2 linked regions of the Neodiprion lecontei genome follow. The protein of the gene in region 1 purifies or fractionates together with the protein of each later gene. This does not show direct contact. Links are inferred from orthologs where the notes say so. Each region holds a gene or a part of one and is shown on either strand. Other genes may lie near its edges.

Region 1 (7,369 bases):
GATAGATAAGAACGATGACCAATAAGTTTTGAAGAAATTTACTATTTTATCTTATTGTCAGCGATGGTGTTCTTCTACAAGATTATTACTTTCACCAACTGACTCATTTGTTTAATGTCAGTTATTATATAGCAGTTTGAAATTCTGTATTTACACCAATCGGAGTAGTCATTAGTGAGCCAAAATGCAGTGTTTTATTTAGACTCGCTGATTTGGAAGAGACGAAATTTAATTTATACCTATTTAAATATTATTTAGGCTTGTTTCGTATATCCTTTTGTGGAACATGACCTCAAGGGTTGTATATTGGGGATATTATCATTTTTGCATTATACAAATTTCGAAGCGGCAATATATATAGGTGCATAGTATGTAAACAAAACAATTGCAAACATTTATGATGAAATAGTCAATTTTACATAACACATTAATAGCTGTACGGTTTCTCTATCAAACAGATGTGTACAACTTAGTTTTGGATAATCAGCATGCATGACTGTGATGCCTTTCATATAAAACCTATTCCGAATACTTGTAATAGTACACAGCGATTAACTGACTACCTGGAACGAGAAATATTACACAATTAGATTAAGAGCACTTATTGGCATCTAGATAAGCTATTACGGTAAATAAGAGTTTTCGAGTTGAACATTTCGCAGTTAGTACGATCTCGATTGGCATACTTTCATACACATGATGGTATCCTATGTGCTCTCTCTAGAGGTTCTTCCAAAAATGTAGGGACAGGAGGCTAAACTCCCAAACTCAAACTTGTTCTCAAATTTTCAGATAAACTCATTAGCATGATTTCCTCCAGTTCATGTGTTCCTATCAAAGCATGATAACCTACAGATGAACTCGGAAAATGGAGTGAATGGTCGTTTTAATCAGTTTACTGATTTTGGATTTTTTTTCGATTTCACATGTCGATACAGAGCACATATAATAAGTGCGGCCATAGAGGCAATCTGTATTATTGTGTCAATGTTCAAAAATAAGGTCTAATCTTGTAAAAAATTTGGTCAAGTCGAGCCTCTTATCGTTGCTTTCTTAGATTCTTCTGTGAACAGTGTTCATAACTTACTTGACAATGCTCACTGTGATCGTGCTTCTAAATAATGTTCAGCTTTGTTGAAACGTTCAAGCGCAGTCAAACTTCTTCAAGTTATTATATATAATGGCACACTTTTGTGATGCATTCAGTCTTAAAACTAGTCATCTACTACGTAGAAATTCTTCACAATCTAATCTATTATACTTATACATATAATAACCGATATGTTAATTATTATAGTAAATTATATTAGTTTAGTACAACTTTTATTATTATTATCATTATTATTATTACCATTTATCTATGAACATGTTGAAACATTTTTTCTGTTTTGTTACAAAAAAAACAAAAATAAATGAATGAAGAATGCCTTTTTTGTCATTGTGTAGTTGAGTAAGACAACACTTTTTTCAACCAGTGAATATAATGCAATTTTTATGCAGCATCAATTATCCAATGAAAATCAGTCAAAAATTCATTGTATCTTAATGGTATGTATTTACTATTTTATGGGACTTGACAAATTTTTATCATAACTTGGTTTCGTAAAATTGAAAATTATGAGCAAATGAAATTCATGGGGTGACAAATCGGATATGAGCACATTAATCATCACTTTAGGAGAATATTTGTAAGTTTTATCAAACAAATGTGTGCTCGAAAGACTGTTGGTTATTATGAATGAGAAAGATTTTATCTCGAGCACAGTTCACACCATGCTGAGGATATCAATGAATCAGCAACTTAAATGCTCTCCTGAACCTAAAATTATGTTGTATGACTAACATAGAAGTTTGCTTACCCAAACTCTATTTTTAGAATTCATACATTCACTACTTTTTGTTAGTTCCAAATTACACTTGTCGTACAAATGTTATGTAGCAATGGGTACATTGTTATATAAATTAACATTTGCAAATTGTCGGTTATACTTATATGTATAATTATGCGTACATATGCATTATTTTCTATGGTTTCTTATAGTATTGAGATAGATATTTGAATTATTAATCTATATCCAGATACTCATAGAAAACAGACATTAATATCAAAGCACTTGTGAACCTTTCAAGATTTGTGACATGAATAAACTTTTGCAGATCAGTTAACCTAAAATCTGAAAACACAGTTCCCATACATTGCTCAAGGGTGTAAAGTTAGAAAATTCAGATTCAAATAGCGGGTTTCAGGAATCTAGATAGCAGATACAAGATGCAAGATACTTTCCAAGAGTGCAAATTAGTGTAACATTGAGGTCACACAATCCCGGTAGAGGACGTTTGATATTGATATAGGGGAGGTTTTCAACGTATACGCGGTCTTCACGAGATCTATAATATATTTATTATTCAACATGACTAAAAAGGATTATGTAAATAAATCCTTACACCGGCACGCTTACGCAAATCTAGCGTTACCTGCTGGCAGGATTCTTTCCTTTGATCTAAATTACAGCAACCCATCATACATATTACACTAGTTACGCTAAAAAAGACTAAATATATATATATACACACACACACACACTTATATATATATATATACACAACGCTTTGTTGGTCGATTAGAAATAAGGAAACAAAGGGTATCGCGTAATTTTCTATTCAATTCATCAGTAATTTAGTTTCTTTTTACCATGTTTCTACGTATCGTGCATATCGCATGTTACACACAATAATGTATCTAGTCTACAGGCTCAGAATTCTGACCGGTAAACACGACAGGTCTATAATTTACAAAAAAATACGTATGTAACGCGGTGGAAGCTGCGTATAGGAAAAGACCTAAAACTTGGTAAAATCAATAATTTAGCTACGGTCGCGGGGCGAGGGCCCCGAACGAGGCGGGGCATGGGGATTGGGGATCAGGCAGGCAGGGGCGGCGGCGGGGGCGACGTCGTCGTCGGCCGTCGAGAAGAGGCAGGCTGGCAGGTCGCGCATGGCTGCCCGCGGCTCCGTCACGTCGGAGGCTCCCTTCATTTTTCCTTACTTTTTCACGGCGAGCGTTACTTCCTCGTAATTATTTGTCAGTACAGTTATTCGGGCGTTATACGGGTGCGGATACACACGTAGAGCCTGTCGCGACCTTACGACAGTCTAGCCGAGGTGTTAAAATAATTTCGCGAAGTATTCCTTTCCTTATTTCTACGAAATCGTCACCAGCTACCCACATACATGTCGGCCATTTTGCTGAACACTGGCCGTGATCTGACAGCGGTGTCTTAATGCAGTTTCCGCAGTCATTCCCCAACTTGTGCGAGGTTTTGGAGCACCTAATTAAATTAACTAAGTGCAATTCTTACCGTGTAGATTATTAATATTATAAACAACGATGGCCACCGATCAGCCGAGGGAGCGAGAAATCGCTGCCGAAGACAGCATTAAAGTTGTGTGCCGTTTTCGACCGCTCAATGACTCCGAAGAAAAGGCTGGGTCGAAATTCGTTGTCAAATTTCCAGCCGGCGGAGAGGAAAACTGTATTTCGATTGGGGTACGTCTCATAAATATCATCGATAATTCACCTAATCAGAGTCAACTTGGAGCATACGTTAACCTCAAAAAGTTATATTTCCACACGTTAATAATATGACAGAACTCAGCTGACAGCTGTCTAATTGTATTATAATCCTAATAAAACAATACCTGTCGTCAAAGTATAAACTCAAGCAACAATAGCCAGTGTCTGAAAATCCATTCTCATACCCCCAAGAATAACTATAAGCTTTGATTCTGCTCACAGTTTTCAAGAGTCTCTTCTCTTTCAGCTTTGTATTCTCTTTGAACTGACCTCCTCCCCTGTTGGCCCATTTATTTCTCATTGTGTCGACAATGTATTGAAAAATTGTGAAGACAAATATTCTGATGCATACCCAAATGTATGTCATGAAAGTAGATGTAGGAATATATCCTACCAAAGTACATGTACCTATATTGGTCAGGCGTGATTACGACTCCTTGACTAATTGATAATTAAACCTGCAATACACATATCTCTGACATGAGATCACATACTTGAGATAATGAAGAAAGCAGGCTCCTTCATTTTCTCATTTAATACTTACCATAGAGAAGTTAGGGTTCAGTCTTTGAATATGGCAAACACCTTTTTCGCAGTACTTACAATCACACCGACAGACTAAATAAATTCATTATTGGAATGGACAGTGAACCTTAGCTGTGATGTACTAATGTGAGATCTTCGACTTAGCTAGGCTCAATTAATTGAAAAATGCCATAAACTGTACCAGAAGCCTTATTTTTAGTTCACGTACTCAAATATAATGATGTTTGAGAAACACTATTGTGGAATTATTTTGCTTTAACTGTGGTAGAGATCTTCCAAATCTGGAGATAAAAAGTTAATCTACTGAGTCAAAAATAAAATATTTTAAGAGAATTGACTATGTAATCTCTTATTTATAATGAAATACCAAGTCTTTTGAACATCTGAAATCACGTGTTGTTCAGGACAGTGTAAATACTAAATATTGCGTAATGATTCCTCTAATCGTAATATGAAAAAGATTCATGACTACCTTTGACCTCTGTATTTACTTTTGAAAAAAATTTAATCGTTTAATGAGATGCATGGATTATTCACAGGGTAAAGTCTACCTTTTTGACAAAGTATTCAAACCAAATGCAACGCAGGAGAAAGTTTATAATGAGGCTGCAAAGTCGATTGTCTCCGATGTCCTGGCCGGATATAACGGGACAATTTTTGCTTATGGGCAAACATCATCAGGTAGATAATCAAAAAATGATATTAGCTTCTAATTTTCAATCGAGAGTAATATATATAGAAGTAATCAGATTTCGAAAATAGCTACAACATTTTGGAATTTCATATTGTACTTCGAAAATTTTACTGCGTTTTGAAAAAATTAAGACGTGTACATTTTCACATCTCGATTGAAATTAATTTTTTCAAGTGACACCAACGTCGAACCAAGTTAAAGTATCAGACTGAAATAGATAACGTTAATGTAATGAAACATCGAGAAAAAAATCATTATCATGCAATTTTAGAAATGAATTTCACGGACTTGACTTTGCAAAATAAGAGTATGATTTCTTTATCACGATTTACTAAATGTCAGGTATTTTTAAAGGCGCAAAGTAAAGATTTTTCCGAAACATGCATTGTTATAGTAACATTAGTAACTTAACACTCATGACAAAGCTCCAAGCTTACATACTCATTTCGTTCTTTTTGGTAATATTGTTTTTATTATCTGTTATTGTTGAGAAAACACAATTGTTGTGCGGTATCAAAACTCGTGCTTTCTGTGTGCGTAAATGTATGAAATTTTTGATAATTTTTCAGGAAAAACCCACACAATGGAGGGAGTCATCGGCGATCCAAACAAACAGGGCATTATTCCTCGCATTGTTAATGATATATTCAATCATATTTATGCTATGGAAGAAAATCTTGAATTTCATATTAAGGTCTCATATTTTGAAATCTATATGGACAAGATTCGAGATCTTTTAGATGGTAATTTTGCTTTACATTATTATAACACAAATTTGTCTTACATAAACAAAAAAGATCATAAATTTTTATCTAATTTTCATTTCACGGGAATGGTTTGTGATATTTAAAATGCTTTTCAGTTTCTAAGGTGAACCTTAGTGTTCATGAAGACAAAAATCGTGTACCTTTTGTGAAAGGAGCAACTGAAAGATTTGTTTCAAGTCCCGAAGAAGTATTTGAAGTTATTGAAGAAGGAAAATCGAATCGGCACATCGCTGTGACAAACATGAATGAACACAGTTCCAGATCACATTCCGTTTTCCTAATAAACGTAAAGCAGGAGAACCTGGAAAATCAAAAAAAACTTTCCGGCAAATTGTACCTTGTCGATCTTGCTGGATCTGAAAAAGTATGATTCAAAATAGGCCTTGCAACATGCATGATGTAGATCTTGAATAATCACAATATTTTTCTGGGTAGGTCTCTAAAACTGGTGCTGAAGGTACCGTACTAGACGAGGCAAAGAATATTAACAAATCACTATCTGCTTTGGGTAATGTCATATCTGCTCTCGCTGATGGCAACAAAACGCACATCCCTTACCGAGATTCGAAGTTAACAAGAATCTTACAAGAATCTTTGGGAGGCAATGCCCGAACTACCATTATTATCTGCTGTTCCCCTGCCAGCTTTAACGAATCAGAAACCAAGTCTACGTTAGACTTTGGTAGGTAACAAAACTCACCCCTTTAGTTATAAATTCCTTCTGCACTTGCTCATAATTCACATCGTTTTCAGGTAAACGTGCAAAGACTATCAAGAATGTTGTTTGCGTTAATGAGGAACTGACTGCTGAAGAATGGAAACGACGATACGAACGTGAGAAGGAAAAAACGGCAAGACTTAAGGGAAAAGTGGAGAAATTAGAAGCCGAACTGTCCAGATGGCGACAGGGTGAAACTGTAAAGGTCGAAGAACAAGTCAGTCTTGTCGAAGGTCCTGATGTTACCACACCAGTCGCTCCAATTATTGAAAGTAAGAACCCATTTAGTTCTAATTCTCTGATTAATTGTGATGAATGTCCATTCAATTTACCTGCCAATAGTGATATGAATATTCATAACTATAATCAAGTTTAAATACACGTTAAGTAAAAAGAATGAACACTTGGCGAAATTATGGGTAAGACAGTAAATAACCATCCTGTAAATACATTATCATATAAAATGCCAGTTTTGTGTACTAGCAGTTTTTTTTTGTCTTCGTAAGCATATTCATACTTATTTGATTATAAAGTATGCAGCTGCAGAAGTTTCTTACTGAAAATTTTTCACTCGTTAAAACAGCCAAAATTGACGATGGTCCCGTGCCAGCAACTCCTGGTGGCGGTTTAATGGCTGGATCGTTATCTAATGAGGAGCGACAGAAGCTAGAGGAAGAGCGTGAAAGGTTGTACCAGCAGTTAGATGACAAAGATGAAGAAATAAATCAGCATTCGCAGTATGTTGAGAAGCTGAAGGAGCAAATGGAAGAACAGGAAGAGTTAATTGCCTGCACCAGACGTGATTATGAGCAACTTCAGCAGGAAATGAACAGAATCCAACAAGAAAATGAAAGTGCCAAAGAAGAGGTGAAAGAAGTCCTTCAAGCTCTTGAGGAATTAGCTGTTAATTACGACCAAAAATCTCAGGAGGTATGTATTGTATGTTTATTATTATTAGCTGACAAAAGGTTATAACGTATTTGTGTTGAATAGGTCGAAACGAAGAATAAAGAGCATGAAGCTTTGTCAGAAGAGCTTCTTGCCAAACAGGCAGCTTTGAACACAACTGC
Region 2 (6,381 bases), on another chromosome or scaffold:
AGCAAGCACGAGAAGAAAGCGTATAAGAAAATTCGCGATTATCATGTGCCCCAATTATTAATCAGCCAACATCAAAGATAACACCGACAATGCTAGTGAGAGCTAAATGCAAAAAGGATATATATATATATACACCAGCTGTTGAAGTATGTTATTTTTCACCAATCCCTAGATAGAACTTAGGTATACATGTAATGTATACAACCGACTGATATACAACAGATATTGTAGGTATTATATAATAACATAATACGGCCGACTGACTAGCCAGGCAGGAAAAAGATGAGCAGGAAGGTTGCAGGTGGAACGCAACAAGCCGTAAAATATCTTTTTGCGTATACATATGTATGTATGTATACACATATAAAGAATAGATTTTGTCCTATGTACTGAGTGAAGTGTATGCAACACGGTGTATGTATAAACACGCGTACATAGCTAGCCTGATTGTAAGCCGAAGCCCGTACAGTCGAGTGAATAATGTCCGCATACACGGTTTGCATTATCGCATTACGCAGGGGCGAGATTAGCGATGCGTAACACTTTAGAAAATATTGTTCATTACCAAAGTCTATCGGTATACCATCGATTTTAATTTTAACCCCATTTTAAACCCGACAACATCAAGTCCGCGACTATCATTATCATAACATAAACGGAAAAAAATATCGCACCTTGTTTACAGCTGCGAAACATCAGGAGGAATAATTCGCATCGTATAAATATTTTAATTCCAAATGGACAGGTTGTATAATATATATATATATATATATGTATGTATACATCGTCTTTACCGAGTTTTTTGGAGTAGATCATTTCTCGCCTAATATAGCGTATGTGTATATATATATATATATATATGTATATCTATATATATATGAGTAAATATGTACACAATATGAGTATTATAGTTTATTATATAAATTCCATATTGGCACGCGAATTTTACGATCGGTGTGGCTTAGCTATTGCAATGAAGTCATCCGTTGTAGGATCCACCCTCGCACATTTGACTCACTGACTCATATTGTACACAGATTAGAGCGATAAGAGAAAGTGAAAAAAAAATTGGGTTTCTCAGAAAAAAGATTTTGGATAAAAGAATCGAGAGAACACCTTGATGTGACGATGAACGTGTTGCATGATGTTTTATGATGCGATAGGATAAAATTGCAAGTTTTTTTACTTACTGGCATTCGTTCATGATCTCCTCTTGCGTTCGTACTTGGACCGGGGCGAGGGACTCGACATCGGTGCCGTAATCTCGAAAGCACGATGTGATTTTTTCGTCGAATGTATTAACGAGATCCTCGAGACTGCCGCTGAACGGACTGAACGTTCCTTCCTGGAGAATATCAACACCGTTGCCACGGGTGGTTCCGGTCTCGTTGGCGTTACGATTTTCGCCAAAATTCGCCTCAAGACTCGCGTCCAATAGTTGCTCTGCAATATAAGAAGAAAGTGACATTCATGTGAAACTTAGGTGAAACTTTAGGTGAGCATGGATGGAATCGTCGTTGACCGTCGTGCATTATTACACATATTCTACACACGAATTCAATGAATCTGTCTTCTCATTGAAGTCTTGATCTCATCTCTATATTATATTTAACGGCAGGGCATGCCTGACAAGTTGGGGATTTACATTAGGAAGGGTTTATCGCTACGACGACGATTAGTAGGCGTTGACACTAAAGGCGTAGATTAAACGGGAGCAGGAACGAAAGGTTAATGTGTTCGGCTCGCGCCGTCCGGTTCTCACAAACAGGCGGCGGCGGCATTTAAGCTGCAGCCTGCATGCAGAGGCAGCATGCGTAAGTACGTACGTACCTTATATCTACACGCTAGACTACCGGAGAGGATGCGTAGTCGTTTGCCCTGCGATAAGCGGCGATAACCCGAGGGAAGGCGGCCGAGAAAAAATACGCGGTTCCATTCACAGGCGCGTGTATTCAACGGATATACTATAAGATTTACATCCCCAGTTTCAGCTCTCCTCACCGTGACCCACAATAGTGGCTATGAATAGGTCAAGCTCTTTAGTTTTACTTTAGTGTGACATACGACGAGAGATATTCGTAGGTGTGTGCAGGTTACTGCTGCACAGTATCTACCTATTTTTTTTTTTTTTTTTTTTTTTTTATTCATAACCAAACGAAAATGAAAATTAGTTTTTCAGCTGTAGCTAGAAAAGTTATCGTGCGTTACTGTTATTTTTGATCATGCTCGCAATTTCGAAGTACCGTTAATTGTAACGAAATTTTTCTCATTCTTTTTTAAACTGCTTCTAGTGGTGTTGCTACTGCTGCTGCTGCAGCTGCTGCAATTGCTGCGGGGAATGAATGAGTCGCCCCCTTCAATTGCCTCATTTTTCAGCTGTCCGGTACATACAATCAAAAAGGCGACTCATCTCTTTGTCTTCATCGGGCTGGTGTAACTAGGTGTACACGTGTGTGTAGATATATAACCGATAATTTCGCTCTATTTGTAGTGAAGAAGTGAAAAATAGCTGTTGCGGTGACACGATGTAAGCGGACGCAGTGATTAACAAACGTGGACGAATAAATTACCATAGAATTTGTGTATCGTGTACATGAAATTTTTTTCAATTTACGTGGCTGTAAGATAAGCAGCGGATAAGTGGATGGTGTTGACTATGGATGCAGGTCATGTATAACAAGATAATTCGAAACCTCGGAGTTTCGCAAATTATTTCACATAAAAAGTTTCAGTTGACAGGGTGTGGATCGACAAAATCTGGAACGAAAATTTTATCACAGGTTATTCTCTGATTCTTTTTTATATAGAAGCAAAAGTGGAAACTGTATTCTTCCGCAATTGATGTAGTAATAAAAAATACTTTGATGCAATTATGAATTTGATGTCTTTAATTTCTAGATAATTAATTTTCTACGCTATACACAGTATTTATTTCATTTATTTATTGTACTCGTACTTTTGCCAATATTATTTACTTCATTTATTTTGCACATCTTATTCATTTTACTGTCGTTTTATTTATTTTTAATTTCGTATTATATTTTTGTCTTCAGTTCTACTTTATTATTCTATTTTCAACTTTCCTATCTATCATGCTATTCTTCTATGTGTATATTTCCGCATCTTATCATTGCGACCGTTGGTTCGTTCTGTTTGCTTGTCTTATGTGTATAAGAAGGAATTGTCCTACTAACGCAATAAATATCATTATTATTATTAAAATGAATTCCTCGCTTTGATCTCCATATTTTTTTCCAACTTTCCCAAGGATTTCGACGTTTCCCAAATTTGTGTCCATCGGGTGTGTTCAGAAAACTTCACGAGGCGGTCGAATTCGTAACCTTAATGTGACGTCGCGTTTTCTATAACGAAAAATTGCGATTTCGCAATTTTAAAATTCTCCGAAATTCAGTTCGCATGTAAGCCGCAATGAAACTATTTCAAGTCATTCTCATCAGACACCACAGATTTTCTTTGCAATGTTTTGTTTTTCATACGTTAACCAACGTTGCTAACTTCAGTCTCGTGAAATCTTCACGTCTACTAGTTACTTTTCTCCGTCAGTTCACGGAGGTATTCGTCCAACAATAAAAATAACAAAGTAAGCAAATAAACGTAAGAAGATCGTATTTAAATTCGGTAAAATTCTCCCTGATCACATCTGCGGGTAACCATAACGTAAAAATGTTAAAGAAATTCACCGAAATCGCGCGCCTCAAGGTAGCCGCTGCCAACCTGCCGGCACCTGCGGCACGGACCGATCATACTTTGTTTTAAAAAGGTTTTCCGAAAGGTGGATGTGTGCTCGAATCTCGGCCCTTCTCGACCCCGAATCACTTGGCGCATCCCTACCGCGTTTATCCTTTTCTCGCGACGAAAAGATATCCTTTTCAACATTCTCTCCACTCTTTCTTTCCTCATTCCAGCTACCAGCATCGTCGCTGTTCATAAATACTTCGGTCCATTTCGGGGAATGTTATGTCGAGGGGATAGCGATTCGCGGCTAGCTTCAAGCGATTGAAATAAAGAAACAAAAGCCGATCGCGAGGAGATTTTTTACCGCCTCATATGAAACGGAGTTCATTCTTCAGCACAAACCAACAACGCAAAGTGCGAACAATAACAAATACCCGCTCAGCTCAGTCAGCAGCCGCTTTACACGCGGAGGAGGGGGGAGGGGGGGAATGAAAAGGGTCGAGGCAGGAGAGAAAAAATAAAATTGACCATTCCGCACCTGTCAGCAAGTTGATATTCTTGAGGCTGGACGTCTCCTCCTCTTCGAAGCGAGCCAGGGGTGCTTCAAACTTTAATTCGGCCATTTTACCAGCCATGTCCCTCATGATAAACCACTTGGCACAGTTCGGACAGGGAGATAAGCCACCGGTAGAGACACAATCACTTCAGCTTGAAGTAAGGTTGTATTTTTTTTCACAGGGACGAGGAGAAGAAGCCTACGCGACGACCGTATCAATCCTGCTCCTCCGACGTTCGGAGGGCGACTGAATCAAGGAGGGGAAGAGAATGTTGGAGCGAGGAGTGGGGGGCAGATGATTCGACGTTACCATGCCGACCGTCAGGAGAAACACGACGCGAGTAACGGGAGGGGCTCTCATCGCCTCCCTGACGACCGCTCTCCTGTTCCTCCGCGAAAAGATTACCCGATTATACATACCTATACGTAGATATCTTTCGATCCGACATCAACTCTTACGATTACCTCGAAAGGTATCAAGAGACAACATTCCCGCCCTTCTCTTCCGTGCTCGTTACATTTTTCACGTGCAAAAATCTTTGTGTATCCGGTTAATTTTCCCAAGCAGGTCAACGTATTCTTTTCATTTTCATTTCTATTTGTGTTTATATTCTCGTTTTTTTCCGGTCATATTATTCGCTAAAAATATTTTATGATCTTCTTTTTTTGTTTAGTCAATCATTGTGGTACTGGAAATATTAAAGCTGTTAAGTTAGAATTGAAAATATAGATCGTAAAAGAGTTTAAGATTCAGGGAAATTGTAAAGTCCCAGAGGGGCCAATAAAGATATAGAATTGATGACGGTATTTTTCGTTTTTTCATTTGTCAACACCGAGTTGAGTTTCATTCGTGCAAAGCTGGTTCTATATGCGTATTATTATAATTAGAACGCTTCAAAATGAGGTTGAAACTTTCTCGTTTGAATCGTGCGCAATATGACTGTCGACGATGTTTACCTTTACATTAAATCGCCGAATGGCGCACGTAATGAAACGTAAGACAATAGCCAATATAAATTCATTGCTCTGCCTATGGCGCTTATAATTGAAACGTTAGTTCTCGCTTTATAAGGGGCCGATTTTTTTACCATTTGATGTGAATTCAAAATGATTACTTATAAAAATAAAATTACACTATACCTTTTATCACCATTCCACTCGCATTCACCGCTTCGTTTATCAATATTTAAAAAATCTTCACATTCGCTGTTGCACGTGCAAAGCTTAGCGTAACACAAACCAGTTATATTTTTCCTATGCTCTATATAAGTATACCGCAGAGAAACAGAGAGTGCATAAGTGTATTAAAGAACGAAGACCACTGACATAATATTGCGTTCGCGCAAGGCGAAGGCTAATTGGGCATAATTTTGTTAATTATACTACGATGTACCGATTACTTCAAAAAATGAAATATTCGAACCCTTGCAAATTGCAACAGCGTTTCGTAAATAACGTCGCTTATAATTAGCGAAGTTTTCCGTTTCGCAATACGTAGAACTGTCATTGTTTAAATTCTGATGAATAAACAATTTCACCCAATATAGTAGAACTATTTTTTCTGGTTTTACCAGCTTGATTTAAACCAAAGTTGTGCTTTGCGTGAGTGGAAATATAATTGAATAGGGTGCATATTGAGGCGAAAAATTGATATCGAATGCTGAGAACTATCCATCAGCACTTTTTAATAGTTAATCGGATTATTTACGTGAATAATTGACTCGCCTACCGAAACATCTTGTATTTATGTTTTAACCAAATTAGGGAAGCATCGTTTATATCATAATCGCGGGGCAACGTTATACCGAAATGTCACCGCGGTAAACTAGTCAATAAGCGACTCTATCTAACAGCATGTAGCTGAAGCGTAAATGAATGACCGAAAATTGTAATGCTCAGCCGACTTGTCAGAAATCTGTCGGTAAGACAAGAACTATACCGGCGGTGAGCTGCAAGGCAGATGGCGCCTATATTCAGAAACCCGCCGTACCGGTACGTATGTTAAGTCAGCAGCTATTAGGCGCTAAATTCCTATGGCGCGAATTTAGTTTTCTGTATTTCGACGGAAAGGTGATATTTAGGTATGGTTTTGAGGAATATTTAGAAGGCTATACTTCCAAGATTATTTT

The links. The genes of interacting proteins can lie anywhere in the genome.
Region 2: the proteins of kinesin heavy chain (region 1) and fasciculation and elongation protein zeta-2 purify together in Drosophila melanogaster (affinity purification with western blotting; 3 studies listed by BioGRID). This does not show direct contact. The link is inferred for Neodiprion lecontei from reciprocal best matches to the Drosophila melanogaster genes Khc and Unc-76.

What each region holds. Positions count from the first base shown.
Region 1 is NC_060261.1:40,098,586-40,105,954, forward strand, and holds the start of kinesin heavy chain, read left to right. Parts: upstream 1-2,967; 5' UTR 2,968-3,388; coding exon 3,389-3,547; intron 3,548-4,659; coding exon 4,660-4,801; intron 4,802-5,383; coding exon 5,384-5,557; intron 5,558-5,676; coding exon 5,677-5,945; intron 5,946-6,016; coding exon 6,017-6,263; intron 6,264-6,334; coding exon 6,335-6,571; intron 6,572-6,882; coding exon 6,883-7,229; intron 7,230-7,292; coding exon 7,293-7,369. UniProt on the Drosophila melanogaster protein: Kinesin is a microtubule-associated force-producing protein that may play a role in organelle transport. Milt and Miro form an essential protein complex that links Khc to mitochondria for light chain-independent, anterograde transport of mitochondria.
Region 2 is NC_060265.1:20,723,534-20,729,914, reverse strand, and holds the start of fasciculation and elongation protein zeta-2, read right to left. Parts: upstream 4,519-6,381; 5' UTR 4,341-4,518; coding exon 4,235-4,340; intron 1,444-4,234; coding exon 1,191-1,443; intron 1-1,190.